Linked DNA regions of Canis lupus familiaris. The protein of the gene in region 1 binds, or shares a complex with, the protein of each later gene. Links are inferred from orthologs where the notes say so. Each region holds a gene or a part of one and is shown on either strand. Other genes may lie near its edges. The genes, in order: SFN, LRRK2, RIPK2, MLXIPL, EIF2AK2, SOS1 and PIN1.

What was found.
Region 2: the proteins of SFN (region 1) and LRRK2 are in contact, whole or in part, in a crystal structure (PDB 5MYC), measured with the Homo sapiens proteins. The link is inferred for Canis lupus familiaris from reciprocal best matches to the Homo sapiens genes SFN and LRRK2. Residues at the interface, in NP_006133.1 of Homo sapiens: Lys11, Glu14, Glu39, Asn42, Leu43, Ser45, Val46, Lys49, Asn50, Arg56, Arg60, Phe119, Lys122, Arg129, Tyr130, Pro167, Ile168, Gly171, Leu174, Asn175, Val178, Tyr181, Glu182, Asp215, Leu218, Ile219, Leu222, Asp225, Asn226, Leu229; in NP_940980.4 of Homo sapiens: Lys907, Ser908, Asn909, Ser910, Ile911, Ser912, Val913, Gly914, Glu915, Phe916, Tyr917, Arg918.
Region 3: the proteins of SFN (region 1) and RIPK2 are in contact, whole or in part, in a crystal structure (PDB 7OBS), measured with the Homo sapiens proteins. The link is inferred for Canis lupus familiaris from reciprocal best matches to the Homo sapiens genes SFN and RIPK2. Residues at the interface, in NP_006133.1 of Homo sapiens: Lys49, Arg56, Arg60, Lys122, Asp126, Arg129, Tyr130, Pro167, Gly171, Leu174, Asn175, Val178, Tyr181, Glu182, Ile219, Leu222, Asp225, Asn226, Leu229, Trp230; in NP_003812.1 of Homo sapiens: Leu535, Gln536, Asn537, Lys538, Ser539, Met540.
Region 4: the proteins of SFN (region 1) and MLXIPL are in contact, whole or in part, in a crystal structure (PDB 8BTQ), measured with the Homo sapiens proteins. The link is inferred for Canis lupus familiaris from reciprocal best matches to the Homo sapiens genes SFN and MLXIPL. Residues at the interface, in NP_006133.1 of Homo sapiens: Gly53, Arg56, Ala57, Arg60, Gln67, Arg129, Val178, Tyr181, Glu182, Lys214, Thr217, Leu218, Gln221, Leu222, Arg224, Asp225, Asn226, Leu229, Trp230; in NP_116569.1 of Homo sapiens: Arg117, Ile120, Arg121, Asn124, Trp127, Arg128, Ala129, Trp130, Tyr131, Ile132, Tyr134.
Region 5: the proteins of SFN (region 1) and EIF2AK2 are in contact, whole or in part, in a crystal structure (PDB 7OBK), measured with the Homo sapiens proteins. The link is inferred for Canis lupus familiaris from reciprocal best matches to the Homo sapiens genes SFN and EIF2AK2. Residues at the interface, in NP_006133.1 of Homo sapiens: Lys49, Arg56, Lys122, Asp126, Arg129, Tyr130, Glu133, Gly171, Leu174, Asn175, Val178, Glu182, Leu222, Asp225, Asn226, Leu229, Trp230; in NP_001129123.1 of Homo sapiens: Asn546, Glu547, Arg548, His549, Thr550, Cys551.
Region 6: the proteins of SFN (region 1) and SOS1 are in contact, whole or in part, in a crystal structure (PDB 6Y44), measured with the Homo sapiens proteins. The link is inferred for Canis lupus familiaris from reciprocal best matches to the Homo sapiens genes SFN and SOS1. Residues at the interface, in NP_006133.1 of Homo sapiens: Glu14, Asn42, Ser45, Val46, Lys49, Arg56, Phe119, Lys122, Arg129, Tyr130, Pro167, Ile168, Gly171, Leu174, Asn175, Val178, Glu182, Leu218, Ile219, Leu222, Asp225, Asn226, Leu229, Trp230; in NP_005624.2 of Homo sapiens: Arg1158, Pro1159, Glu1160, Ser1161, Ala1162, Pro1163, Ala1164, Glu1165, Ser1166.
Region 7: the proteins of SFN (region 1) and PIN1 are in contact, whole or in part, in a crystal structure (PDB 7AOG), measured with the Homo sapiens proteins. The link is inferred for Canis lupus familiaris from reciprocal best matches to the Homo sapiens genes SFN and PIN1. Residues at the interface, in NP_006133.1 of Homo sapiens: Tyr19, Lys49, Asn50, Arg56, Arg60, Lys122, Asp126, Arg129, Tyr130, Pro167, Gly171, Leu174, Asn175, Val178, Glu182, Ile219, Leu222, Asn226, Leu229, Trp230; in NP_006212.1 of Homo sapiens: Arg68, Arg69, Pro70, Ser71, Ser72, Trp73, Arg74, Glu76.

Annotation. Positions count from the first base shown.
Region 1 is NC_049223.1:72,664,948-72,668,226, reverse strand, and holds SFN (14-3-3 protein sigma), read left to right. Parts: upstream 1-1,146; 5' UTR 1,147-1,246; coding exon 1,247-1,993; 3' UTR 1,994-2,495; downstream 2,496-3,279. UniProt on the Homo sapiens protein: Adapter protein implicated in the regulation of a large spectrum of both general and specialized signaling pathways. Binds to a large number of partners, usually by recognition of a phosphoserine or phosphothreonine motif.
Region 2 is NC_049248.1:33,158,467-33,162,730, forward strand, and holds the start of LRRK2 (leucine-rich repeat serine/threonine-protein kinase 2), read left to right. Parts: upstream 1-1,193; 5' UTR 1,194-1,295; coding exon 1,296-1,449; intron 1,450-1,703; coding exon 1,704-1,789; intron 1,790-4,264. UniProt on the Homo sapiens protein: Serine/threonine-protein kinase which phosphorylates a broad range of proteins involved in multiple processes such as neuronal plasticity, innate immunity, autophagy, and vesicle trafficking.
Region 3 is NC_049250.1:35,952,679-35,955,767, forward strand, and holds the end of RIPK2 (receptor-interacting serine/threonine-protein kinase 2), read left to right. Parts: intron 1-302; coding exon 303-458; intron 459-1,055; coding exon 1,056-1,393; 3' UTR 1,394-2,558; downstream 2,559-3,089.
Region 4 is NC_049227.1:6,562,983-6,566,770, forward strand, and holds part of MLXIPL (carbohydrate-responsive element-binding protein), read left to right. Parts: intron 1-53; coding exon 54-223; intron 224-1,509; coding exon 1,510-2,056; intron 2,057-2,335; coding exon 2,336-2,403; intron 2,404-2,482; coding exon 2,483-2,905; intron 2,906-2,970; coding exon of another isoform or gene 2,971-2,996; coding exon 2,997-3,116; intron 3,117-3,302; coding exon 3,303-3,430; intron 3,431-3,512; coding exon of another isoform or gene 3,513-3,513; coding exon 3,514-3,637; intron 3,638-3,788. UniProt on the Homo sapiens protein: Binds DNA as a heterodimer with MLX/TCFL4 and activates transcription. Binds to the canonical E box sequence 5'-CACGTG-3'. Plays a role in transcriptional activation of glycolytic target genes. Involved in glucose-responsive gene regulation.
Region 5 is NC_049238.1:29,682,574-29,686,361, reverse strand, and holds part of EIF2AK2 (interferon-induced, double-stranded RNA-activated protein kinase), read left to right. Parts: intron 1-2,814; 5' UTR 2,815-2,827; coding exon 2,828-2,946; intron 2,947-3,329; coding exon 3,330-3,450; intron 3,451-3,788.
Region 6 is NC_049238.1:31,204,623-31,208,410, reverse strand, and holds part of SOS1 (son of sevenless homolog 1), read left to right. Parts: intron 1-340; coding exon 341-996; intron 997-3,788.
Region 7 is NC_049241.1:51,560,192-51,564,628, reverse strand, and holds the start of PIN1 (peptidyl-prolyl cis-trans isomerase NIMA-interacting 1), read left to right. Parts: upstream 1-1,457; 5' UTR 1,458-1,605; coding exon 1,606-1,663; intron 1,664-3,666; coding exon 3,667-3,879; intron 3,880-4,437. UniProt on the Homo sapiens protein: Peptidyl-prolyl cis/trans isomerase (PPIase) that binds to and isomerizes specific phosphorylated Ser/Thr-Pro (pSer/Thr-Pro) motifs.

The DNA.
Region 1 (3,279 bases):
CTTGGTCCTGTCTCTCTCTCCAGGTGCTAGCGTCCCCCTTGGGGAACCAAATTGGGCTGAGCACCCAAGTGGCCTGCTTCCCAGCCTTTGACAGAAGGCAGGCTGAGTCAGGCAGGAGAGCTGGGCCCCCACCCTGTGTGAGCCCCACTGATACATGATGGCAGGCGGCTTGGAGGGGGTAGGTGACCTGGCGTGGAGAGCCAGAGGGTAGGTCCTCAAACAAGTGGTAACAGGCCACCAACTTGAAAGGGAAAATTGTGCTGTGATGGGGAAGGTGTCCAACAAACCTACTGGATGACTAATTACAAAGGCTGGGCTGGAGCGTCAGGGGCCGCTCATTAAATACCTCATTAAGTGGCACCCTGAACGATGCCACCTGTGCATTCTGGGACCTCAGAGGGAACCCTGAGGGGGGGTGATGACCAAGGGAGAGAACCATTTCAGGTAGACTCCGGAAGAAGCCTGGATTTCACTTCTAAATACAGTCTGGAGCTTACAAGTCAGAGGCCTTGACGAGAGAAGCCAAAGGAAGTAGGATACAGGGGATTTATTAGCTGTGTGACCTTGAGCAAATCTCATCCCTCTCTGAGCCTTAGCATTCCCACCTCTAAAGTGGGAGTAAAAGTCATAGTCTGGCCCATCTCACAGAGACATAGTAAGGATTCAATCCAATCGTGGCTGTGAAGGTGCTTGGGAAACTACAGCCCTACCTAAACATAATTATCTCACCCAAACCAAGGTGGAAAATGTACCTGGTAGGATTAAGAACCCCATCCTCCTGGGTGCACCTGTCTTCATGCGCTCTAGCCAGGCTGAAGCGGCCACTTGGTTGAAGCCATCCCTGGCCCCTGGAAGAACACCATGAAGGAGGATCTGATTTGAGAAACTGGGGCATCTGGGTGGGCACTCATGGAATCAAAGCACCGAACAAGAGGGGGCAGCCTGGAGCTTGGAAAGGTGTCCTGTGCAGGTGGGGCCGACGCCCGGCGGAGTTCTCCCGCAGACTGAGCCCCGATGACTCACCCTACATCCCAGCCTTTTACCTTTAAGGAAGAGCCGGAAAGGGTGTGGGGAGAAGACCAGAGGGAGGCAGGTCCCGGGCCCCAGCCCCGCCCTCGGTCCCTCCCCACCCCTCTCTGGGGCCAGACCTTCCAGCCAAAAGGCAGGCAGAGAGCAGGAGAGGCACAGAATCCGGCATCGGTTTCAAGGCAGCCAGTTAGCCCGCCGCCTGTCTGTCACCAGAGCCATGGAGAGAGCCAGTCTGATCCAGAAGGCCAAGTTGGCAGAACAGGCTGAGCGCTACGAGGACATGGCAGCCTTCATGAAGAGCGCCGTGGAAAAGGGTGAGGAGCTGTCCTGCGAAGAGCGAAACCTGCTCTCGGTGGCCTACAAGAACGTGGTGGGGGGCCAGAGGGCTGCCTGGAGGGTCCTGTCCAGTATCGAGCAGAAAGGCAATGAGGAGAGCTCGGAAGAGAAGGGCCCGGAGGTGCGAGAGTACCGGGAGAAGGTGGAGACCGAGCTCCGGGGCGTGTGTGACACGGTGCTGGGCCTGCTGGACAGCCACCTCATCAAGGAGGCCGGGGATGCCGAAAGTCGAGTCTTCTACCTGAAGATGAAGGGCGACTACTACCGCTACCTGGCCGAGGTGGCCACTGGTGACGACAAGAAGCGCATCATTGACTCAGCCCGGTCCGCCTACCAGGAGGCCATGGACATCAGCAAGAAGGAGATGCCACCCACCAACCCCATCCGCCTGGGCCTGGCCCTGAACTTTTCTGTCTTCCACTACGAGATCGCCAACAGCCCCGAGGAGGCCATCTCACTGGCCAAGACCACCTTCGACGAGGCCATGGCTGACCTGCACACCCTCAGCGAGGACTCCTACAAAGACAGCACCCTCATCATGCAGCTGCTGAGAGACAACCTGACGCTGTGGACCGCCGACAACGCCGGGGAAGAGGGGGGCGAGGCTCCCGAGGAACCCCAGAGCTGAGCCGCCCACCGCGCCCTCCCCGCCGCGCCCTGCCCTCTCCAGCACCCCGCCCGCCCGTGGCAGAGAGGACTAGTGTGGGGTGCGAGGCCCGACCCTCCTACCCCAATGCTCTGCCTCCTGCTCACGAGAGCTCCGAGGAGAGGAAGCAGCAGAGCTGAGGCCGGCTAGGGCCGGGGGACTCGCTCTTCCTGCCGCTGTCGGGGCCCGCCCACCCCTGCTCTCCGCACCCCTCCCCGAAACCCCACCGCCAACCGGGCCACTTCCTCCCCCTCCTGCCTCCCTCCTGCCCCCCGTTGCCTCTGAATCTTAGGAATTGAGGAGTGTCCCACCCTTGTGGCTGAGAGCTGGACTGTATGGCAGAGCCTGGAGATGAGTGTGTGTGTGTGAAAGAGCGAGAGCGAGTGAGAGCACGAGTGAGAGCGCGCAAGACCCGGATGAAAGGGAAAGCATGTCTGCTGGGTGTGACCCTGTTTCCTCTCAATAAAGCTCCCCTGTGACACTCCTCCTGTCTCTTCCAGTTATTGGCGAAGCGATGGGACAAGGACTGGCTTATGATTTAGAGACCTTGACTTCTGATTTAGGGCCTTGACCTCTCACGGGGCTGGCTCAGGGACCCACAGGCAAGACTCTGGAGCCAGTGACCCCAGGTGAGAGGCTGGGGGGCAGGAGGTCCAGCTCTCCATCAGGGTGGCCCCCAGCAAGCTGGTCTGGTCCCGGACGGTCGGGGGAGCGCAAAGGCGGCCCTAAGGCTGCTCTAGGGCTGCAGGGCGGGGGGCTGAAGAGTCCAGATCTGAGGGGACAGGAAAGCCTCTCAGGTGTGAGGTCCGAGCGACAAGGACAGGTTGTAGTGAGCCGCAGCGAGCACCCCGGCCTTGAAAGCGAGTTAGAGGCCCATCCAGTGCTCAGATCTGAGAGGAGGGGAGCACAATCTGGGTAGAGGCTTGCGCCGCCATTAAAAGCCCGTATCTGAGAGGGGATGCCCCCGCCCCCAGCGCTCCGACTCGGGGACGGAAAGAAAGGGTCCGGCGAGGAGGAGCCGCGGGCGGGGTGGGCAGGGCCGCGGGGGGCGGAGGCCCGCCCAGGCCGGGCCAGATCAACGCCTCCGCCCCCTCCCGCGGCCCCGACACGCCGGGACCCGCGGCCAGCTGGCCGGCTCCCACCTCCACGGCCCGGGGGCGGGGGCGGGGCGGGGGCGGGCCCGAGGCCGATGCCGCCCAATCCCGGGACGGAGCTGCTCGGGGTTCCGCCCCCCGGGCCCGGCGGGCCAATGGGGCAGAGCGCGGCGG
Region 2 (4,264 bases), on another chromosome or scaffold:
CCAATTATCAAGACCCTACGGAGCGCAAACTCAAATTTCCAAAAGTTAATTTTAGTGAACTTTTGGCCAACGGAGCTTTACGATAAATAACTGAGGGGGCGGGAGGAATGGGTGGCTGGGTGGGAAGGGATTTGCTCCCCTACAAAAAGCCACAGCAACCACAGGAAAAAAAAAAAAAAAAAAAAAAAAAAAAAAGAGCCTTCAGCCGGGCACATTTTGATTGCAGAAATCCCTCTCCATCCCTGGTGGGAAATTATTCATTTCCCTATAGGGGGAACTCTAAAGAACATGTTCTCCTAAAAGGGGCCAACTGGGCGGTGCCCTCCTTTCCCGACGCCCAGATTTCTATTCTTAGATCTGGAGATAGGCGGCGGCTTTCATTTTTTAGGTTTCCTAGCGGGCGGCCCCTCCGCGGCGCTCAAGGAGCGGGGCCCGGGGCGCGGCAGGGGCGGCGGGAGGGGGCGGGGGCGCGGCGGGAGGGGGCGGGGGCGGGGGCGGGGGCGGCGGGCCCGGGCCTGGGGCTCCGTTTCCTCCCGCGCGACTCCCGGCCGCGCCGCCGCGGGGAGCAGGAGCGGGTCCCGGGAGGCGGCGCTCTCCGGGTCGGGGACCGGGGCCACCCGGCCGGGCCCAGCCCCAGCCGCACGCGCCCTCCCTCGGCCGAGCCTCCGCAGGCCGCTGAGCTCCTCTTTGCGGCCCTGGTGGGGGAGGAGGCAGCCGGGGAGGAGGGCTGCGGCGAGCGAGGGCGGCGCGGGGCGCGGGGCGCGGGGCCTTCCTCCCCGAGCGGCGGGCGTGGGCGCGGACGGGGCGGGCGGGGAGCGCAGGCTGCGGCGCTGAGCTGTGCTCGTGCCCGCGAGCGGCGGCGGAGCCCCGGGCCCGGGTCCTAACCCCGGGTCCTAACCCTGGGCCCTACCCCGAGCCCTAACCCCGAGCCCTAACTCCGGTCCCTAACCCCGCCCCCTACCCCCCCCCCCACCTCCCCGGCCCCTGCCCCAGGCCCTGCCCCAGCCCTAACCCCGGGCTCTAACCCCGGGCTCTAACCCCGAGCCCTAACCCCGGGCTCTAACCCCGGGCTCTAACCCCGAGCCCTAACCCTGGGCTCTAACCCCGGGTGCTAACCCCGGGCTCTAACCCCCCGCTCTAACCCCGAGCCCCAACCCCGGGCTCTAACCCGAGCCCTAACCCCCGGCTCTAGGCTCTAACCCCGAGCCCTAACCCCCGGCTCTAACCCCCGCCCCTATCCCGGCCCCAGCCGCCGGCCTCCGCGAGGGAGGGACCCGCGTGGAGCAGAGTCCGTCATGGCCAGTGGCAGCTGTCAGGGCTGCGAGGAGGAGGACGAGGAAACTCTGAAGAAGTTGATAGTCAGGCTGAACAATGTCCAGGAAGGAAAACAGATAGAGACCCTGGTCCAAATCCTGGAGGATATGCTGGTGTTCACGTACGCCGACCACGGTAATGAGTCGCAAGGAAACTCTCTCCTCCGCTCCCCTCCCGCCTCTTTTTTGCAAACTTTCTCCCTCGCGTTTTTCCGAGTTGCACAAACCTGGGCTCGTGAGAAGCCACAGACTGTCAACTCCTTAGGGCAGAAAGGAGCTGAGAATTGTAGGGAGGTCTTGCGCTCACTTCTTTTGCTTTCTCCCCCTGTTTCATCCCCTGTGCGTGGATGGTGACTTTGCTTCTTTTTCCCTCACCCCCTTCTCTTCCAGCCTCCAAGTTATTTCAAGGCAAAAAAGTCCACGTGCCTGTGTTGATCGTCTTGGACTTGTATATGAGAGTCGCTAGTGTGCAGCAGGTAAAGGAGTTGTTTTCATGTCACCCGTTCTCCTTTCTGTCTGGAAATAGATGTTTTTCTGTCAATATTATACACCCAAAAGTTCTGGGTTAATTCTGGCATTTGGCTTCTCAAACCACTGACTGTGATTTGAAGAAGGAAGCGATACAAGTCATGGTCAAATGTTACTGATGTGAAAGGGCCCGCTAAGAGCTCCCTAATTGTTTTGGAGAAGTAGGTTTATACAACTGACCTACAAAATATGGTTGGTGGTGGGTAGGAAATAATCAGAAGTTGAAATTTACTTCTGTGATTGGCTAGATGAGTTCACCAGTATCAGCATTTAATCAAATTATTCTAAGAATCTTACCAAGAACAGCATGTTCTAGAGATGACACCGCTGTGAACAGTTAGGGAAAGGAGAATAATTAGCCACTAAAAAATTAATGATGATTAAATTAATAAAATGAAGTAACTGGCAAATTCTCATAGGTTTAAGCTTTGTTTCTTTCTTTTTTAAATTTGAGAACAGATTTCTGGCCTTTAATTGTAGTGTGCATTGTGTTATCTAAAGAAAGCGATGTCTTAGCATCCTCCTGTAAGTTTATATTTGTATTTTTCAACTCTTTTCATATAAACTGAATATAAAAGTGAGACTTAAAATCAGTACCACAGGAAACACAAAAATTTGTTAAATGCCTTCAATATATTAAAAAAAATGAAGATGATAATTGAGGATGATTTACAGTCAAAACAAATGATTGGCTAACATATTGACTTCCTTTGTAGAATTTGAGATTTAGAGAACTGAAATCAGGCACTTGCATGTTGTTGGGTCCTGAAGAGAAAGAGAATTGAACTTTGAACTCTGTCAAGGTGTAGTCAGAAAGCCAGTGTTTCTTAATATTTACTGGAGAGGCTAGACGCAAGTAGGAATTATCTGGATCTCTAAATCTGTATCTACCTTTATCTTTATGTTCATTCATCTCTGTATCCAGCTATGTCTAGTCTGGGTGAACCATATTCCTAGCTTCTTTTAAATGAGGACATTTACATTTGGGATAAATGGTTATTTTAAATTTTCTTCAACTGAAACATCTCCCATCTGACTATTGATTTTCAAGTTGTTAGCAAACAAAATCATGAAAAGATGGGAGGCGTGATAGAGACACTGTTCGTTTTAGCATCCAGTGCCTGAATTTTGCCCATGAAATATGAGTCACATTTTAGAGCTGGCCCATTGTGCTTGCTGCTTCCCTCCCACATCATCCCTTCTCACTTGCCTCTGCTTTGGTGTTCAGAAGTGCCTTGTCTGGCAGCTTCTATTCCTTGGCTTCCGTGCATGGTATAGAGGATCTTCCTGTTGGGTGCCACTCAGAACCCGCGGGACCTTTGGAGGGCTTGCTGTGCAGGGTCCAGAGAGGCAGTGCTAAACTTGAGAATCCAGGGGAGGCTGGAACAGACCCACCCACCACTTCATTCTTTGTTTTAGAAGCTATCCACACCTGGACATGTTTGCATGGAGTGGCTCTGAATGCCACTTAATACCTCGTCCAGTGGGTACCGGAGACAAAGTATGCAAGAAAATAAGGAATTGTCTTTTGATTTGGTTACTTAATGGAATAGAATTATTCATTTCCCCACCATGTATTAGTCTGCAAAAGGCATGTTATCCCATCATTTAATTCTCACTGGAATCACACTGCTCTCTCAGAAATCTCACTGGACATTTTTACCTTTACATTTTACCAGAGCTAAGTACCACATTGCTAATGACAGAGCCAGGACTCAAGTCTTCACATACCTTCAGAATCTCTTTTCACTATACGTTCTGAATTCACAAGCTTTTCGTGCAAGTAAGAAGTACAGTGATTTGTTACAAATACTGTGGCCTTGCTAGGCACAATTACATTATCAGTTTTAATTATCATTGGTCTTATCAAGGGAATATAGAAAGGGGTCACTTTACCAATATTTTAATACTCCACTTAAAGTGGTTTTTTTTTCTTCAGATTTCTTCATATTTGTGGTGTAATATATATATATATATATATATATATATATATACACACACACACATACACACACACACATCCTTTAATGCTTTATATGTTGAGTTAGTTGGAAGTGCTGAATTAAAACTTCTGAATGATGAATTGAAGAAGGTAAGGTAAATTTAAAAGTAAATATTAATGTTTCTTTCCAGAATTCATTTAATGTGATATTCCAGACTCCAAATTCTTTTTTCAAGGTCTTTTTACATTTTATTACTGCTCCTTAATAAATGACAGTCTTTAGAGAATTGGTAGTTAGGCTAGCTGTCCTGTAGTTTCCTTTTTTTGCCAATCATCTCATCATTTCTCAGTGCTCCTTAATTTTACATTACTTGTCTTTATCCACACAGTTGCAACCTTTGAGAACGAAATAAATGAAAGTCACTAAATTTTTCTTTAACCCCAGACTCTTTCCCATTGTGCATTAATTAGATGCTTGAAT
Region 3 (3,089 bases), on another chromosome or scaffold:
GACACATTTAAAGTACAGAAGGAGGAAGAAGACACAGAAAACATTAGGGATCATGTGAAGAAGTAAAATCCAATGATTTATGATTCACATACAACAAACATAGACATGAGGTAAAAACATTGATTATAAACCCTCTTTTGCTCTAAGATGTATTTGCCTTTAGAACTAGATTTATGAACCAGCTTTAATAACTGAAAATTTAAAGACAATACTATTTTCCGTATGACCAGGATGTTGATATTTTAGCTAATAGGAATAGCTAAGGACTCTTCTACCCCTAATGAAGATGTTGTGTTTTGTAGGAAAAACTCAAGACTTTTCTCCGGTGTGTCACTATCCAGTAAATCACAGTTGCAATAGTAACATCTCTGCAGCTCAGAAGTGGACGTTTTGTGATCACAAGACCACCCCATGCGCGTTAACAGTAATAAATCCATTCTCAGCTGAGGGAAACACAGGTAAATATTTAACACTTGTAAATGATGCTCTTTACCTTACAACTGTACGCTCAGATTTCCCACACAGTTAGTTTTATTCATCTTTATTTCTTCAACACAATAAACACATACCTTCTTAAATAGGAAAGCACTTGCAATCCTAGAAGATATGAGTGCTGACATGTGATAATAGGCCCACATGGTATTCCATGAACATCTATCTAGGGAGGGAGGTGTGACTTAGTATGTTACTAAAAGTAAAGTTTTTTGTTTTTGTTTTTAATAATAAATTTATTTTTTATTGGTGCTCAATTTGCCAACATACAGAATAACACCCAGTGCTCATCTCTATGTATAATATAGATTGGGTTTTTACCCCCATGGATTTATAAACATATAAAAGGACTTTTTCTGGGAAGGGAACTGAAGGGAAAAGAAGAGATAACCCAAATATCTGAGTGTTTCCCAAAAATTAACAGCATCCCCCAATTCCTGTATTCCCTATTAGCATAATCACAGAAAGTTAGGTTTTACTCCTCATTATTTCTTTTTTATCCAGTTTTACTCATAGCCATAGAGCTGTCCTCAACTGCTTTGTTATCCTTTGCTCTTCTGCAGAGCGATTACAGCCTGGCATAGCCCAGCAGTGGATCCAGAGTAAAAGGGAAGACATTGTGAGCCAGATGACAGAAGCCTGCCTTAACCAGTCGCTAGATGCTCTCCTGTCCAGGGACTTGATCATGAAGGAGGACTATGAACTCGTTAGTACTAAACCTACAAGGACCTCAAAAGTCAGACAGTTACTGGACACCAGTGACATCCAAGGAGAAGAATTTGCCAGAATTATAGTACAAAAGTTGAAAGATAACAAGCAAATGGGTCTTCAGCCTTACCCGGAAATACTTGTGGTTTCTCGATCACAACCTTTAAATTCATTTCAAAATAAAAACTTATAAGTGACTCTTTTTCAAGAAGAAAAGTCTTTCTATAAGAGGTTATTTTATATTTCTGTTGCCTTTATCATGTCGTTTTTATAAAATCCACATGAATATTAGAAGTTTTAATTGAAGTTTCTTCTTCAGGTAAATATTAGTCTTCTTCCATAACATTATAGTATGTTTTTAAATTAATATATTGGAAAGTTTGTGTTTTGCTACATGGTTCCATTGTTTTGTCTCCTTGGTTAATTGAAATTATTTTTTAAATGTAATAGTTCTCATATATCACAATGCCTTGAGGTGTCATGCATTGCTCATGGAAGCCATTTTCATATTCACTTTCCTTGTGGATGATTTATTACTTGTCAAAGATACAGTTTGGCTTTTGGAACTTTAACCTTTATACTCAAATTAGAGTTAGCGCACCATTTCTAACATAGAGTGCCAGGTTCAAATCCTCTCCAAAAGGTTATGCATTAAACTGTGTTATCCAGATTACATTTTTTAAATCTTCTTCATTGAATTCTTAAAAAAAAAAAAAAAGTTTCAAAGGTCAAATGATACAAAGGAGATGAAGAAAAAAATCTTTCAACATATGTTTCTGCTCTCACTTCTAACCTCAGCTAGCAACCAAGGTGACTAAAACTAACAGCACAATATTTATCCTTCTATACCCTTCTTCCTACTGACATGTATATGCTCATTTGGGAAAGGGTTTTTCGTTAATATTATTACAGTACATCATACTACAACCTAATTTTTGCACTTAATAGTACATCATGCACAGCCTTCCAGGTCATGTATAAATCTAACTCATTCTTTTTAACTGCTGCATAGTATCAAGGCTGCTTTTTTATTTTTTTAACTTGTTCAAGTTTAGCCAAAACAATAATGATACAATGTGAAGTGGGGTTTTTTTTGTTTGTTTTGTTTTGGTTTGTTTTGGTTTATGTCACTAAATGAAAACTTACAAGGCATAATTGCTCTTCTGAAAATGTTTATTAGTAATGTCATCAAAAACTGTGATGCAGGATAAATTTGAAAGTACAGACTTTCAAGAAGGACCAGACCCACCGTATGAAAAAAGAAGAAGAAGAGTAAAAATGACCAGAAAGCATGGGGGCAATTATATATTTTATTAAAATATTTAGTATTTTAATCTCCATTTGGAGCTTGACATTAACCCGTGGTGCCTCATTACTATGTCTCTGAGAAATATGGAAATTAGTAGGGAAAAATAGAAACCAATTAAGTATACGAGTTATCATATCTCTTATTTTTAAAGTGTTAGGATAAAGATTTAATTTGGGAAATAAGTTGAGAAGATGGGATCGTTTTAGGTAGTACATAGACACAGCACCAAATAACATTTAAGTCAAACAGTAAGGAAATTCTTTTCAGTTCTTCTTTGAGCCTTTTTAAATAAGTAAAGGAGAATGTCACAATTGTGCGGTGTTCTTTTAATCCCCCTTGTTAAGAAAAACAGACTTCAGGCTCAGAACTTAAGAAACCGTATTTAGCCAGAATTTTATAGTTTTTTTTAATTGCATTTTATTTGAAAATGACCTCCATATGACAAGCGGTACTAGTTTTGTATCTATAATATATAAAGTTTCATTTCATAATATTCAAACAGAAAGATAGTGAGAAATACTAAATTGTACTACGATATGGGAGTATGACAGCAATCAGAAGTAGTAGGATGACATTAAGA
Region 4 (3,788 bases), on another chromosome or scaffold:
GGCCCGCCTGGCCTTAACCCTAACTACCACCGCCCTGTATGTCTGAATTACAGATTTCTTCACCAGCTACCGCCCCCCACAGACGCCCACGCCTTCACATTTCCCGGAGCCCCCCAGCTTTGGCCCCATGGCTGACCCTTTCTTCAGCAGTGGGATCCTGGGCTCAGAGGTGCCCCCTGCCTCATCAGGCGTGACCCACCTCTCAGGGCATAACCGCCTGCAGGTGAGCTCCAGCTCTGCTACACTCAGTCCTGCCTAGGTCACCTACCTGTTTCTGGGAGATAGGGTACTTCCTGAGTGCCCAGTCCTGTGCTTGGTTGACTGAGAGGGACTGAAGGGGGAGAGAGAGCCCATCTCTGCCCTGTGAGAGGGCACCATTCAGCTGGGATGGAAAGATCGTGAAGCATTACTGGACCAGGTGGTTGTAGAAGGGAGGCTGGGGGTAGGGGCATGGAGCCAGGGTACCACTGAAGAGTGGGTTGCTTGTGAAAGGCTTCCTGGAGGAGGGGAGGTTCTGGGCTTAGTGAATGGATTGGGTTTGGACAGAAAAAGAGACCAATAGAAGGCAAGCCAGATGAGGAGACAAGCACAAATGAGCCCATGGAGACAGAAAGCTCAGTGTGAGTGTTTAGGAAATGGTGAACCTGCCATTGTGGATTGGGAACTCACAGGCTCAATTCAGATGTCACCTCCCTGCTGCTTGGTCAGAAGCCTTTTCCCTCTATCATCAGCCTGTTCAGGCATTCTTGTAGTTCATCGTTGAGAGATCTCCTCAACTAGACAGTGAGCTCCTTGCTGGAAGAGCTAAGCCTTGCTCGCCACTCCATGTTCCATACCTAGCACAGTCCAAGCACATTGGCAGCACTGGGTAAATGGTTGCCCAATGAGTGTGTAGATGGATGGGGTGTTGATGAATTGATAGATGGGTTGTAGATGGAGGTGGTTGCTTACATGGGTTGGTGTACATTTAGGTAGGTGAGTGGTCGGTTGGATGGAAGGGCTGGTAGATGGATTTGAAGATGCATAGTTTGATGGGTTGATGAATAGGCTGGTGGCTGAATAAGTGGCTGGTCAGGGAACAGATGGTGGATGGGTGGATGGATTATGAATGGGTTGGTGGATGAATTAAGGAGAGACGGTTGGATGGATTGGTGAATGGGCTAATACCTGGTGGGCTGGAGGACAGAGCAGTGAGAGGACATATAGGTGAACGGAGGATGATGGGTTAGTGGATGGATTGGTGGCTGGATGGAGAAATTATCTGGCAAATGCAAATATAGGCAGGAAGACTGATGCTCTTTCTCACACCTAATAGGTGCATACGTGTGTTCCACTCCCACCTCTCATTAGATTACAATTTCCTTTGGTGTGTGGGGGGTGGGGACAGGAGGGACCATTTCTCCTGTCTCTCCCAGTGCCCAGTCCAGAGCTCAGCCAGGGCAAGAGGCTGCCAGGGTGGCTACAAAAGCCAGCTGTTCCCCCCCTGCTCTCTGTTTGTTCCCCAACCAGGCCCGGAGCAGCTGCCCTGGCCCGCTAGATTCCAGTGCCTTCCTGAACTCTGATTTCCTCCTTCCTGAAGACCCCAAGCCCAAGCTGCCACCCCCTCCAGTACCCCCACCGCTCTTCCAATACCCTGCCCTTGCCAAGGGGCCTGGCCTAGAGCCCTGTGCCCCCCCCACCTTCCCTCCCATGGCTCCTCCCCCTGCCTTGCTGCAGGAAGAACCTCTCTTCTCTCCCAGATTCCCCTTCTCTACCATCCCACCTGCCCCAGGAGTGTCCCCACTGCCTGCTCCCACTGCCTTCCCACCGACCCCACAGCCTGGCCCAGGCCCTGCCCCTCCCCCCTTCCCCATAGACCTTCTACCCTCGGGATATCTGGAGCCCCAATTTGGGCCCCACTTCACAGTACCCCAAAGCATGCGGCCCAGAGGCAGGCCCCCCACCCCATCCCCTAGAGGGCGGAAGCCCAGTCCCCCAACCTTGGCCCCTGCCACGGCCAACTCCACTGCCACTGCGGGAGGCAGCAACCCCTGCCTCACACAGCTGCTCACAGCAGGTGAGATGGGAAGAGCAGGATCCCACAGAGGGAAAGTGGGACCAAATGTAGAAGTGGGGAGCCTGGGGGAGCAGAGGGTGAAGTTTAAGGGGCAGGCTCAGGCTCAGCTGGCAGGATGGGGAGGTGGCAAGGAATTAGGGACATGGGCCCTGAAACCAGAAGGGGAGCAGGACTTTCTGGAAGGGCGAGACGGGGCCTTGGGAGTTGGGTCCCCCCAGTGGATGGGGGGACGGTCTTGAGGCTGGCCCCAGTGGCGCTCATAGTTCTGCCTGTGTACAGCCAAGCCTGAGCAAACCTTGGAACCACCACTTGTGTCCAGCACCCTCCTTCGGCCCTCAGGGTCCCCGGTAAGATGGTGGGCACTGGGAGGTGAGGGTGGGCCCCAGGCTTTACCTCCTTTTAACTCTCTGCCCTTCTCCACCCCAGCAGGAGATGGCCCCTGAATTCCCCTGCACCTTCCTCCCCCCGACCCCGGCCCCCACACCGCCCCGGCCACCTCCAGGCCCAGCCACATTGGCCCCTCCCAGGCCCCTGATTGTCCCCAAAGCGGAGCGGCTCTCACCCCCAGCACACAGCGGTAAAGAGAGCTTGCAAGGCTTGGGGAACTCCAGGGGATGGAGAAAGGGGAAGGAAGAAGGAGGGATGACATCTGAGGCCAGGATGAGAGGAACAGGGCAATGGGACCCTCTCCCCTGTGTTGGTCTGTCTGTGGGTCTGTCTGTCCCTGTCACAGGTGGTAAGCGGCGGCTGTCTGGGGAGCTCAGCTCCATGCAGGGCCTGGGGACTCTGAGCGTCCACGTCTCTCCCCCTCAACCCATCCTCAGCCGGGGCCGTCCAGACAACAATAAGGTGGCACCATTCCCTCATCCCAAGATCTGTTTGCTACCCCTAGGCCCTTCCATGCTCCTTCCTAGGCTCACCCCACTGTCTGCCCCCCAAGACTGAGAACCGGCGCATCACACACATCTCTGCAGAGCAGAAGCGGCGCTTCAACATCAAGCTGGGGTTTGACACCTTGCACGGGCTGGTGAGCACACTCAGCGCCCAGCCCAGCCTCAAGGTGAGCCCCCAGCCCCAGCTGGCACCCCCAGAACCATAAGGCTCCTTCGTAGGCCCCCCTCCCACCGTCCAAGACCCAATCCCAGGAACCTCTGGACACCCAGTTTCCACCTTCCACCCAGTGCCTCAGTGGGCCACAGAGTGGGGCCACTTCTAGCACCTGAGCCTACCCTGGTGATGCCTACAGGTGAGCAAAGCAACCACGCTGCAGAAGACGGCTGAGTACATCGCCATGCTGCAGCAAGAGCGGGCGGCCATGCAGGAGGAGGCCCAGCAGCTACGGGACCAGATCGAGGAGCTCAATGCTGCCATCAAGTAGGTGGGGGACCAAGGGCACTGGGGCAAGGGGGTAGGCCTGCCCGACTCCCCAGCCCTGACTGGCCCCCCTTTCCCCCAGCCTTGTGCCAGCAGCAGCTGCCTGCTACTGGGGTGCCCATTACACACCAGCGTTTCGACCAGATGAGAGACATGTTTGACGACTATGTCCGCACCCGGACGCTGCACAACTGGAAGTTCTGGGTAGTATCCTCATTCGGCCAGGGGTGGCGTGAGTGCTGGAGCCAGACCCAGCTGTGCCTGACTGCAGGCTAGCTCCACAGGCCAGGCAGGGGCCCAGAGCTGCCCCCAGGGGAAGAGACTCAAGTCCTTCCAGGTCTTTGGCATCCTGGCCAGC
Region 5 (3,788 bases), on another chromosome or scaffold:
CAGAATAATAATTTAGAACAGAAATCCAGGGGTGCCTCGGTGGCTCAGTCGGTTAAGCGTCTGCCTTCATCTCAGGTCATGATCCCAGCGTCCTGGGATCGAGCCCCACATCGGTTTCCCTGCTCAGTGGGGAGCCTGCTTCTCCCTCCACTCTGCACCCTCACTTGTGTTCTCTCGAGCACTTGCTCTCTCAAATAAATAAAAATCTTAAAACAACAACAACAACAAAAAAACAACAAAAAACCCCCCATTAGGGCAGCCCTGGTGGCGCAGCGGTTTGGCGCCGCCTGCAGCCTGGGGTATGATCATGGAGACCCGGGATCGAGTCCCGCATCGGGCTCCCTGTGTAGAGCCTGCTTCTCCCTCTGCCTGTGTCTCTGCCTCTCTCTCTCTGTGTCTATGAATAAAAAATAAATAAATAAATAAATAAATAAATAAATAAATAAATAAATAAAAAATAAAATAAAAATAAAAAAACCATTAATCCAATCACATCCCCTCTCTACTTAGAGAATGTCCAGTAACTTCCTATTGCAATTGGAATACCATCCATCAGTTGCGACCATGACCTATAAGATCTATACGCGCTGACCTCTCTGACTCACTTCCTGCTTTTTTCCCCCTCACTCACTATGCAGCCATCCCCTTGATCCCTTGATGTTTTTATTCTCCCTTCAAAGGCCATGGTGGTTACTGAGTTACTTTTCCCCCATATCTTGATATAATGGACTCATCATTCAGTCTTCATTTAAAATTGCCTCCTATGAAAGGTCTTTCCTGACCACTGTATCTAAAAACCACCTCCCTCATATCTCTGCCTCTACCTACCAACTCACCTTCTATGCCACACCCCTATCTAATTTCACAATAGCACTTCTGGCCATCTTATCATATTATCCACTCCCGTTATCTGTTTCTGTGCATGGCCATTTCCTGTCTTCCCTCAGGTCAGGTGTTCATTTGTCTTGTCCACATCTGTATACTCATTGTCAGAATGGTGCCTGGCACTCGATGAGTGTTTATTGAATAAATGAAGAAAGGATCCCCAGAAAATAGCAGATGAAGAAAAGGGAGCAGATGAGGGGGTTTCAAGTAGAGTATTTAGTTTTAACAGGTCATCCTTTCATTTTCCTATACACTATCCAAGTGTTGGACATTTACTACTTGTCACTGGGTATTGGTGATACAAAGATGAATAGGACGTGGAACCTGCTTCCCAAAAAGCTCACTGACTGGGCTGTTATGAGGGCTGAGCCAGGTGGAGTGGCAGGCCCTTGGAGGAGTACTGGCTGCCCCTCCAACATCAAAGAAAACTTGTCAGCCTCACAGATGAGTAGGAGTTGCCTGGTAGACAGAAGGTGTAGATACTGCATTCAGAGCAAAGCGAAAAGCATGTGACAAGTAATGCAGATGGAGGAAGGTCTGCTGATATTTTGGTATTCATTCATTGATTATTGACCCCCTATAATAACAGCCTGGCCCCCTCCCTCTTGTGGCTCATGGTCTCTTTTGGAAGATAGTCATTTATATAAGCAATTGCAGTAAAGTGAATAAGAGCTGTGATGGAGTGCCAAACAAGGACTTCTAGGGTCTCTGGGAAGGGACCTCTGAGCTGTGATCTCTAGGAAATGGGAGTTGACCAGGTGGAGGCAGTGGAAGGAGTGAAGTCAAGGAGGCAGCCTATTGAACAGAAACAGAGTCATGAAATAGTCAGGGGTAGAGGTGTTAATGATGGTGATAACCATCATTGTGTAGGTGAAATTTAAACCCATAAGTCTAGAGGTGATCACCAGGGGAGTGAGTGTTAGTAGAGCAGAGAGGAGATCTATAGATATCCTATTCTGTAAATTGTCTTTTCATTTTCTCCATAGTGTCCTATGTAACACAGATGTGTTTTTACTTTTGTTAAAGCCCAATCTATCTGTTTTCTTTTGCTGCTTGTGCTTTTGCTGTCATCGCAAAGATTCCATTGCCAAATCCAAGATTATGAAGATTACCCTTATTTTTTCTTCTAAGAGTTTTATAGTTTTGGCTTCTATATTTAGATTCTATATTTTTTTAGATTTTCATTATGACTTAAATCACTGCTACTCTCTTGGTCTAATAGACCCATAAATTGGGGTCATTATTTATCCAGGTAAAAGTGACTAATGCATATTTTAAAGGGAAGATTTTTGAGATTTCATTGGGGCATCTATTTCTATATAGTGAAATCTTCGATCATTTATAGACTTCACTTTATATGTATACTCTCAACCTTTTTTTTCTCATCATGAAGAATTCTGATTCTACTCGTGTAGCCTTTTTACCTTCTCACGCAGGTGGAGATACCTGTACCTGACACTCACTGGCAGCAGAGAGAAAAGTGGAAGAAAAAGACCCCTTTCCTTTTTTTGACCAGTTGAGTTTTGGAAGTAGAAAGTTTTGGAGAAATTAGCTTGGTGTGCAGTTCATGAGAGAAAAAGATTTTGTAAGACGTTTTCTCTGGATTTATGTGGGGCTGAAATGAGTCTATAAGAAAATTCTTGAGACGCTTGGGTGGCTCAGCAGTTGAGCGCCTGCCCTCGGCCCAGGGTGTGATCCTGGAGTCGGGGATCGAGTCCCGCATCGGGCTCCCTGCATGGAGCCTGCTTCTCTCTCTGCCTGTGTCTCTGCCTCTCTCTCTCTCTCTTCTCTGTGTCTCTCATGAATAAATAAGTAATTTTTTTAAAAAAAGAAAATTCTTCTGATCCTTTTTTGTCTCCTGCACTGAATTGGGAAAATGAGATTAAATATATTCTGTGTCACTTTTTTCAAACATCTCTTCTGTTCTAGGTTACTAGAGGAAATGGCCAATCAGCGTCCACCAAGTTTTTTTATTGAAGAACTTAATATATTCTGTCAGAAGCACAGAAAGGTACTTAAGTATAATGAACTGTCTAAGGAAGGACCTGCACATAACTTAAGGTAAATTTCTACTTTCTAAAGACTTTTTTAAAGCATTCTCAATACCCATTGTGGGTCTCAACCTGACAACCCTGAAATCGAGAATTGCATGCTCTACTGACTGAGCTAGCCAGGCACCCCAAATTGCTGTTTTTTTTTTTAAAGGTATAGCTGTATAAAATATGAACTGGAAGAATGGCAACTCTGGCATGATTTTGAAGTACATAATTAGCTCTAGAGCAAAGATGATGTGCTATTTGGCTGAGTGAGGGTGACTGCTTAAATTCTATATTGAACAGGTTAAAACCTTCAAGGTAGTTATGGGAGACAGTGTGATTGGAATACTTGTCTGTAGATAATGCAGGAATTTTATAACATTTTATGAATATTGCCTTTGTAATCAGATTTACATTCCAAGCTATCATAGATGAGAGAGAATATCCAGAAGCTGAAGGTAAATCAAAGAAGGAGGCCAGAAATACTGCAGCCAAATTAGCTCTTGAAATACTTCATAAAGAAAACAAGGTGAGTAAATGCCCCTTCTAACTTTACTTTGCAAGAAAACACACACAGAATAAAGCTATTCACAAGTACTTTTACATTCAGAAGTTGGGTCTTTTTCCTCCATCTCCTTTTCTGTAGAGCCTAGAGTCAGAGGTATATCTAGGAAGTAGTGGGCAAAGCCTGAAAATTACCTCTTTAGAATGCCAGCACTAAAGACAGCCTATGAAGTTGAATGCATAGGAAAGGAAACAGTGAGAAATGAGTCGACAGGTTCTGACAGGAGTCTCCCACCTGATTGAGGACAAAGAACAAAGAGATGGAAGGACCTTGCGGAGAATGACTGATCAGCAGGACAGGTG
Region 6 (3,788 bases), on another chromosome or scaffold:
AAGTCTTTTAAACGATTTTTTTCACTATATTGGGCTACTTTTTAATATTTGTCATTCTAAATATTTAGAAGTCAAGGTAGAAATAATCATTCCATAGCTAAATTTATAGAGTAGAATTTTGTCATTACTCATTGTTCTTTTTAGAGCACTAAAAAAAGTCTCTACTGTGTTGCTTTAGTTCCTAAAATGGTGCAGTTTTATAACACTAATATATTTGGAAAATTAATGAAAGCCTTCTCCGTGCAACTTTTTAAAATGTACTTTTATATTGTCCTTTATTTTATGAATTCTAGATTGTCTGTCATCTGTGTACTAATGATGTTTTTTTCCTTTATCCCAGTGAATCTGCATGTCGGTTTTATAGTCAGCAAATGAAGGGGAAACAACTAGCAATCAAGAAAATGAACGAGATTCAAAAGAATATTGATGGTTGGGAGGGAAAAGACATTGGACAATGTTGCAATGAATTTATAATGGAAGGAACTCTTACACGTGTAGGAGCCAAACATGAGAGACACATATTTCTCTTTGATGGCTTAATGATTTGCTGTAAATCAAATCATGGGCAGCCAAGACTTCCTGGTGCTAGCAATGCAGAATATCGTCTTAAAGAAAAGTTTTTCATGAGAAAGGTACAAATTAATGACAAAGATGACACCAGTGAGTACAAGCATGCTTTTGAAATAATTTTAAAAGATGAAAATAGTGTTATATTTTCTGCCAAGTCAGCTGAAGAGAAAAACAATTGGATGGCAGCATTGATATCTTTACAGTACCGGAGTACACTGGAAAGGATGCTTGATGTGACGATGCTACAGGAAGAGAAGGAGGAGCAGATGAGGCTCCCTAGTGCCGATGTTTATAGATTTGCAGAGCCTGACTCTGAAGAGAATATAATATTTGAAGAAAACATGCAGCCCAAGGCTGGAATTCCAATTATCAAAGCAGGAACTGTTATTAAACTTATAGAGAGGCTCACGTACCATATGTACGCAGGTAAGAAATATAAAGTTGCCTGTCACTTTTATTTTCCTGCTTCCAACTGATTTTCTTTGCTGCACAGGTCATTGTGCCTAAAATAGAAAGCAAACTAACAACAAAAGATCTCTGCATTATTCCGAGTTCATTTTCCTTTGCCTAAAAATACTGCCATTTGTACCTTTTCTGCCACATTTAAATATTATTTTTAACTTTACAACCAGAATTACAAGTAAGAAAATAAAATCACTTGGCTAAATTTACCCAATTGGTGGCAGAAACAAGATAAATCATCATTAGGGTCTAAAAACCTTTACCTTTTTTTTTCTTTCTTTCTTCTCTTTCCATTACTGAGATCTTAAAGTCAGTAAAAATTTTAGTATACATTCATTACCAGAACTGTGCTGGAATATGCGCATTGCTTTTTCTTAATTTCCATTCCTAAAACTTTCATTAAAGTTTTCAATATTTTTTTTCTGTTTTACAATTGATCACATTTAAGAAAACAGTATTACCTTAGCAGGGCAGTTTTTAAGAGACAAATGCATCCAAACTACCTAGGAAGATTGGTGGAAGCCAAATCAAATGTAATGTTGGGAGAGTTTAGGAACAAACATGATTTTTTTTTTTTAAAGTAATTCTATTTCTTCTAGTAAAGTAACCCATGATAATCCAATGTTCCTCAACCTTCAACTTTCCTACACGATAGAAAGCTTGGTAATTGTACAGTGCTGTAGCCTATGGTATAGTGGAAAGAGCACCAAATCTGGATTTACACCCTCACTCTGTCACAGTTCCCTAAGGTCCCAGACCTCAGTTTTCATCCCAAAAATCAACATCCCAACAGCAACCTTAGAATGTTATTGGAAAGAACAGATCAACGACTATATGCAAAAGCTCTTTGTAAATATAAATGTAAAATTTCAAAGAATGTTTTTATTACAAAGATCTATAAACTCAAACGTATATCTTATAACATAAATGCTCTTCTGAAGTAGTTGAATGTGAATGTTAACCTCCATCCCTATACTTCTTGCTTAAATATATTCTTATTTCTAAGAGATGTGTATTTCTAAGGGAGGTGGGGGTCTTTTGGTTTGTTTTGTTTTTTCATTTTTTAAAGTCCTCTAAATGGGTTCTCAGTTCTCTCTGGAAACTGTTCTGGCACCAGTTAAACTTTTAAAGATTACCCATTAACTGATCCATTGTAATAAAGATGAATAGCATTTGATAATATTAATCTGTTTGATTTATTAAATGTCCAGTCAGAACTACTTAAATGGCCTGGAAACTATCAGGGCCTCTTTGCAAAAAAAGTAAAATCAAGTTAGAATATTTTTATCAAAAAAAAAAAAAAGAATATTTTTATCAGTGATATCAAAACACTTTCGTTAATATCATGTTTCATTATCTCCACATGTCTCTGGGATAAATAAGCCAGTTTTGTTTTGGTTTTAATTTTTATTTGGCCTCCAATTGGTAGTTCTTTTGCTAGCTAGCCTTTTCCATAGTAAAATATTAGTGTTTTCCATAGGTTATTAAAAGCAGTTTGGATTCTCTAAACAGATTCCATTTGGTAGTAGCAGGCAGTAGCTGAAACACGTTGAAGATCATGCAAGAAACCTACTCTGGGATTCCAATTTTACTACTGATTTTTCACCTAGAAACTTCTGCTATCAGTGTTTTCATTTTACTGACTCAAAAATGAAAAAAAGCACAGGAAAGTTAAATAAGCTGCCTAAGATTTTACATAAAAAAGAAACAGATTACTCTAGCATCTTTTTTTATGTTATATAAAACTTTTTGAGAGGTATAATTTTCAGTAATTAATATGACTAACCTATTTTGTGATCTTCATCAGTTTCTGTGTACTCTTTAAGATCAAAATCAACTACAAAAATGTTTCATTAAATTACTCGAAACTTGTGGTTGCAGAATACTTCTTTCTTTGATTTTTAAGAATTTTTAAGGTTGTTACACAAGTTCAAATTGTTCTTCTTGCCACATTATTCTCAGTCTTAGATGATTCACTGATTTCATTAGCATGAACATCCTAAACTGTTTTTTATTTTAAATACCTTTGCTTTGAGTTCTTAGACTGTATTAAATTAATCCTTAGATTTTTATCTACATAAGACAAAAGTTTTACTGTTTTTTTTTTCCTGTAGAGCAATGTTAAGTAGAAAGTGCTAAAGAAGACTTATTATGTCACCATAGTGGCATTTAAATTGGAAAACATTTTCAGATTCCAAATTTTTTAATATAATTGTTTCTGTAAAACTTGATTGTTGATAAAGTTTTTTTTAAAAACTGCATTTCACAGAACTAACTTATTAGTAAACAGTTGCAGAACTACAATTAAATATTTTCTGGAAACTCTGCTTTTTATTTATTTTTTGAATTGAAAACACTTTAAAACAAAACTTGAACAAGCATAGCTGAGAGTTTTTCTGTAGTCTTGATTATTTTTTCTCCTTAATGTACACAATGCTAGCCAAGTCTGTAGACATAGTACTTTTGCTGTAGTGTCTTGTGAGTTATTTTTGATTGTGGCTCTTCTTTATATTAACCTTTAGCTTTTGAATAGAGTAGTATTTTCAATGGTTTTACTTCTAGTTAGTATAAAACACTGAAATTTCTAGATCTACAGGACTTTGTAAGCCTAAGTGTATTCACATTTAAACTGACAAGATTATTTTACTTTTTTAAAAAGTTAAAGTTTTTCAAAAATTCCTTTTACTAATTTCTCGAGGAATAAAATGCCAGTGTTAATTTTAGAAGTGTTGTGGCCAAGGTTTTTTGACATTTTT
Region 7 (4,437 bases), on another chromosome or scaffold:
TATATAGTTTTTACACAATTAAGATAATTATACATATTCTGCAGCTTCCTTTTTGTTTTTTTTAATGCTTTGATATCTTTCTATAACTAATTATTTTCAATTAATGTTTGTTGATTTGTTATGCTTTCATACATACTATAATTGCTACACTGTACAGTGACTAGCTTTTCTTTTCACTCATCAAACATATTTTTGCTATGAGGCAGACGCTGTTTGGAGAGCATTCTACAGATTAACTCAATTTTTGCATCAAAGGTATGTATGAGATATATATATTTCTTATTCTCATTTGCAGATGGAGAAGCTGAAAAGCTGAAACACAGAGATTAGTTTCTTCAAAGTCATAGCCAGGCTTTGAACACAAGCGATCTGGCTCTTGAATGCTCTTAACCTACTATATCCTATTTCTTGTAGACATGTTTTCCCATGTTTTATATGACTGTGCCTCATTTTTTTTTTTTTAAGATTTTATTTATTCACGAGAGACACACACAGAGAGAGGCAGAGACAGGAAGAGGGAGAAGCAGGCTCCATGCATGGAGCCCGATGTGGTACTCGATTCCGGGACTCCAGGATCACGCCCTGAGCTGAAGGCAGGTGCTACGCCACTGAGCCACCCAGGGATCCCCGCCTCATTCTTTTTCAATGGTCACATAGGGGTCTAGTTCTAGATGAACTATCATTGAACTCTTCCTTGTTGGTGTCTTTGCCTCTCGTATCTATCTCCAGCCTGTCCCCAGGCACCTCCCCAGAGTCCCACAGGTGCCGCAGACTCAATTTTAAGACGATTCAAACTGAGCTCATCATCCTCCTACAGACGCATCCTCCTGTGTCGCCAGCTAAGTGGCCATGCCAACACCCACCAGTCACCCAGGACAGAGGCAGGAGCCAGACCGAGAGAATAAGTTAAGTAGGTTCCAAAGGAAGTAGAAGATGTTTGGTCAGTGGCACAGGGAAAGGGTTAGTCTCGCAAAAGAAAAAAAAAAAGTGGGGGGACAGCTTTGGACATCTGGAGGAAACAGGTGGGGAGAAGGAGGATGGAGGAGCCAAATTTAGGCTTCTTCGCTGCTCATCACCAAGGCAACTGCGTTGCTACGGCAACAGCTAAGGCAGCACCGCCTCTTTCAAGTACCTCGTGGGCTGCCGTCACCTCGAAACCACCCGGACACTTCCGCATAAGGGGGCGCGGGCCTCCGGGAACGGCTGAGGAAGGCGGGAACTACTGCCGCAGTAGCCAATCGGATGGGGCCTGCGGCGAAGGACGCAAAGGAGGTGCCCGGACTTCTGTGAAGCTCGCCGGAGGCTGTGGAGAAGGACGGGCTCCAGCCCCTTCCCTACCAGTCAGCGGCCGAGGGAGGAAGGGGGCGGGATCCGGGGGAGGCCGTACGGGGGCGGGACCCGGTAGAACGCACGGAGGGTCCGCCCAGTCTCGCCGCTACCCAATAGAAAGCCCGAAGGCCTCTCCGGACTGCTCGGGCGCCCAATGAGCATCGTCGCCGGGCCCCGGGGCGAGGCGGGCCGAGCCAATCGGCGGCGGCGGTGGGCGGGTGCGGGCGGCATAGGCGGTGCGGCGGAGGCGGAGCGGGCGCTGCGGCAGGAGGGAAGATGGCGGACGAGGAGAAGCTGCCGCCCGGCTGGGAGAAGCGCATGAGCCGCAGCTCAGGTGCCGCGGGGGTCGGGGCTGGGGCGGGGCCGCGCGGGCCCGCGGAAGCAGGGCTCGAGCTCGCCCCTGGGGCGCGGCGCCGCCGCCCGATTCCCGTGGGGTCTTGGCTCCTCCGCGTCTTCCCAGGGTAACGGCCCGGGCCCGCCCCGTGGGGGCTGCGAACCTCAGGAGCGGGGATGCCGGAGGAAACTGAGGCAAGGGGCGGGGCCGGAGAGACCCAGCGCGCTGCCGGGGGTGGGGGGGGCGGGGGCGGGGGGCCGGGGATCCCGCAGCACTCCCCCAGGTGATGGCCCTGGCCCTGCCGATCCGGCTGACACCTTTTGGCCTATTGCACCCGACGTCCCCGGGGACCGTGTCTGCACCCTGCTGGGCCCGGGGGGCACCCCGGGGAAGGACACCCCAACCCCACGCTCAGGGCGTGGCCTCAGAGCGTTGCCGGGCCTCGGGCCCACAACCTGCCCCTGCTAACCCGCCGGCCATCCCCGCCTAACCCGAGTCTGTCGTCGCCGCCCGGTGGATGGACCCTGTGCCGGGAGCCCGATCTGAGGCTTATCCACAGTAATAATACCCGTAACCGCACGCTCATCTTACCGCCCAGCCCTGTGCCAAGTGTGTTTGGAGTGTGTTCTCCCTCTCTCTCTCTGAATGACCACAACTCTGGGAGGTGGATAGTTATCACCCCGTTTTGCAGGTGAGGAAGCAGAAGTCAGAAAACTTAAGGAGCTCCCCCAAGGTCATTCATTTCAGGGGGTGGGGGCTGGATTAGAGTCCGGTCAGTCTGACAGCAGAGCCCGCCTGCCCTTGTCACTGCAGACCAGTGAGGAGCAGGCCCAGCATCTCACCGCACTGCCTCCCCAGCCCATAAAAATCACAGTCACAGTGATATCTGCTCATTGAAGGCCAGGCCCTCTGGTGAGCACTTTGCACGGATCATCACTGTTCTCCACATTAGCCCCGTGAAGTTATGTCCTTAATCTCTCGCTTCACCCCCACTTTTCAGATGAGAAAACCAAGGTTCATGGAGAGAGAGGCCATTGCAAGGTTTTAGGGTCGGTCACTGGCTCAGCTCTCACTGAGCCCGCTCCAGCCCTGCTCCGTGGCCACAGCTGACAGCATGAATCCTGATGCTCTGCCCTGTTCTGGGCCCCCTCTCTGGCCATTTCTGCTCGGCTCCACCCTAATGGTCTTCCTCAGGGGTGACCTTCAGTTCTTCACGGTGCTGGGTGCCAGTCGTGCAAAAATCTCAGCCCCTGGAATGATGCCTGGGCTCTCCTGGGTTCTACCTCAATCTTCTCTCTTGTGGCCTTCCCTCCTTCCTGCTCCTTGGGCCCTGGGTAACGTTTGACCCCCCTGTACTGCTGGTCCATAGTTGTGCAGCGCTGTACACTGGGTGCGGGTTAAGAACAGAGCTTTCATGTTTGGCAACCTGGGTTTAATTCCTGCCTCCAGCCATGTGTGCCTGGGGCCAAGTGTACACTCAGGAAACATTCCAAAGGTGTGGAAGGTGAGGCCTCACTTCTGTCGTCTACAGGGAGATGATAGCTGTCACGCTCCTAATGTGTACTGGGCACTAGTCTAAGTGTGTTACCGCTGTGAGCTCACTCAGTCCTTAGCACAACCCTACAGGCAGGGACTGTTGTTATCTGCATTTTACAGGTGACAAAATCAAGGCCCAGAGAGGTTAGCTCACACAGTGAGTGACAGCCAGACTTGAACAGGCAGCCTGGCTGCCTGTCCCCACACCGGCTTCGTCTCTCCTGTCACTCTGGGTGGTTTTCCTCCTTGAAGTCACTAATAACTGAAGTTATGACATTGTCTTATTTGCTTGTCTGGGGCCTGCCCATCCCCATCTAGAATGCTGGCTCCCTCGGGGCCTGTAGCTCGAGGTGGACTCAGGGGATTTGTTGAATGAAGGAATCCCATTGGCCGGTCCGTCATCTTGGCCTCCGGGTGGTGTCCTTTGAGCAGGTCCCAGCTGAATTCCTGTATCCCCCCTCCTCCAGGCCGGGTATACTACTTCAATCACATTACTAATGCCAGCCAGTGGGAGCGGCCGAGTGGCAACAGCAGCAGTGGCAGCAAAAATGGACAAGGGGAGCCCACCAGGGTCCGCTGCTCGCACCTGCTTGTCAAGCACAGCCAGTCCCGGCGGCCCTCATCCTGGCGACAGGAGAAGATCACCAGGACCAAGGAGGAGGCCCTGGAGCTGATTAATGGTGAGCAGAGTTGGAAGCAGGTTGGAGTGGGGGGAATGTGGGGAGAGGTTGTCCCCTCATTGGGAGCTGGAGCCAGCCTCGTAGAAATCACACCAGGCCCTGCACCCCAGCTAACTCAGCTGTCAGCATTGGCTGCCACCGAACTGCCTGTACGTGACGTGAGCCTGGACTGCACAGCTGCCTCTCCTTTTTCTTTCTATTTGGCATTTGAGGGTGAGCCAGGTTACGAGAGGAGGACCCAGCCTTGGGGGCTGGCAGCCCTGGGTTCAGATGGTGGCTATGCCCTGTAAGCTCCAGGGGGAGCTTGTGTCATCTTGAGACTCAGTTTTCCCCTCTGTAAAATGGGTGTTGTCACATACCTGCCCATACCTGGTGTGTAGGTGCCAAGAAAACTATGAAATCAGCAGCATTTAGCTCACTAGGGCCATAAGTTGCAGAACCCTGGTATGGAGCTGCCTGGTATGGCTGCCACTACCTACACATGGCTGTTACTATTTAAATTAATTAAAACTAAGCCATATTCAAGATTGGTTCCTTACACTGGCCACACTTCAAGTG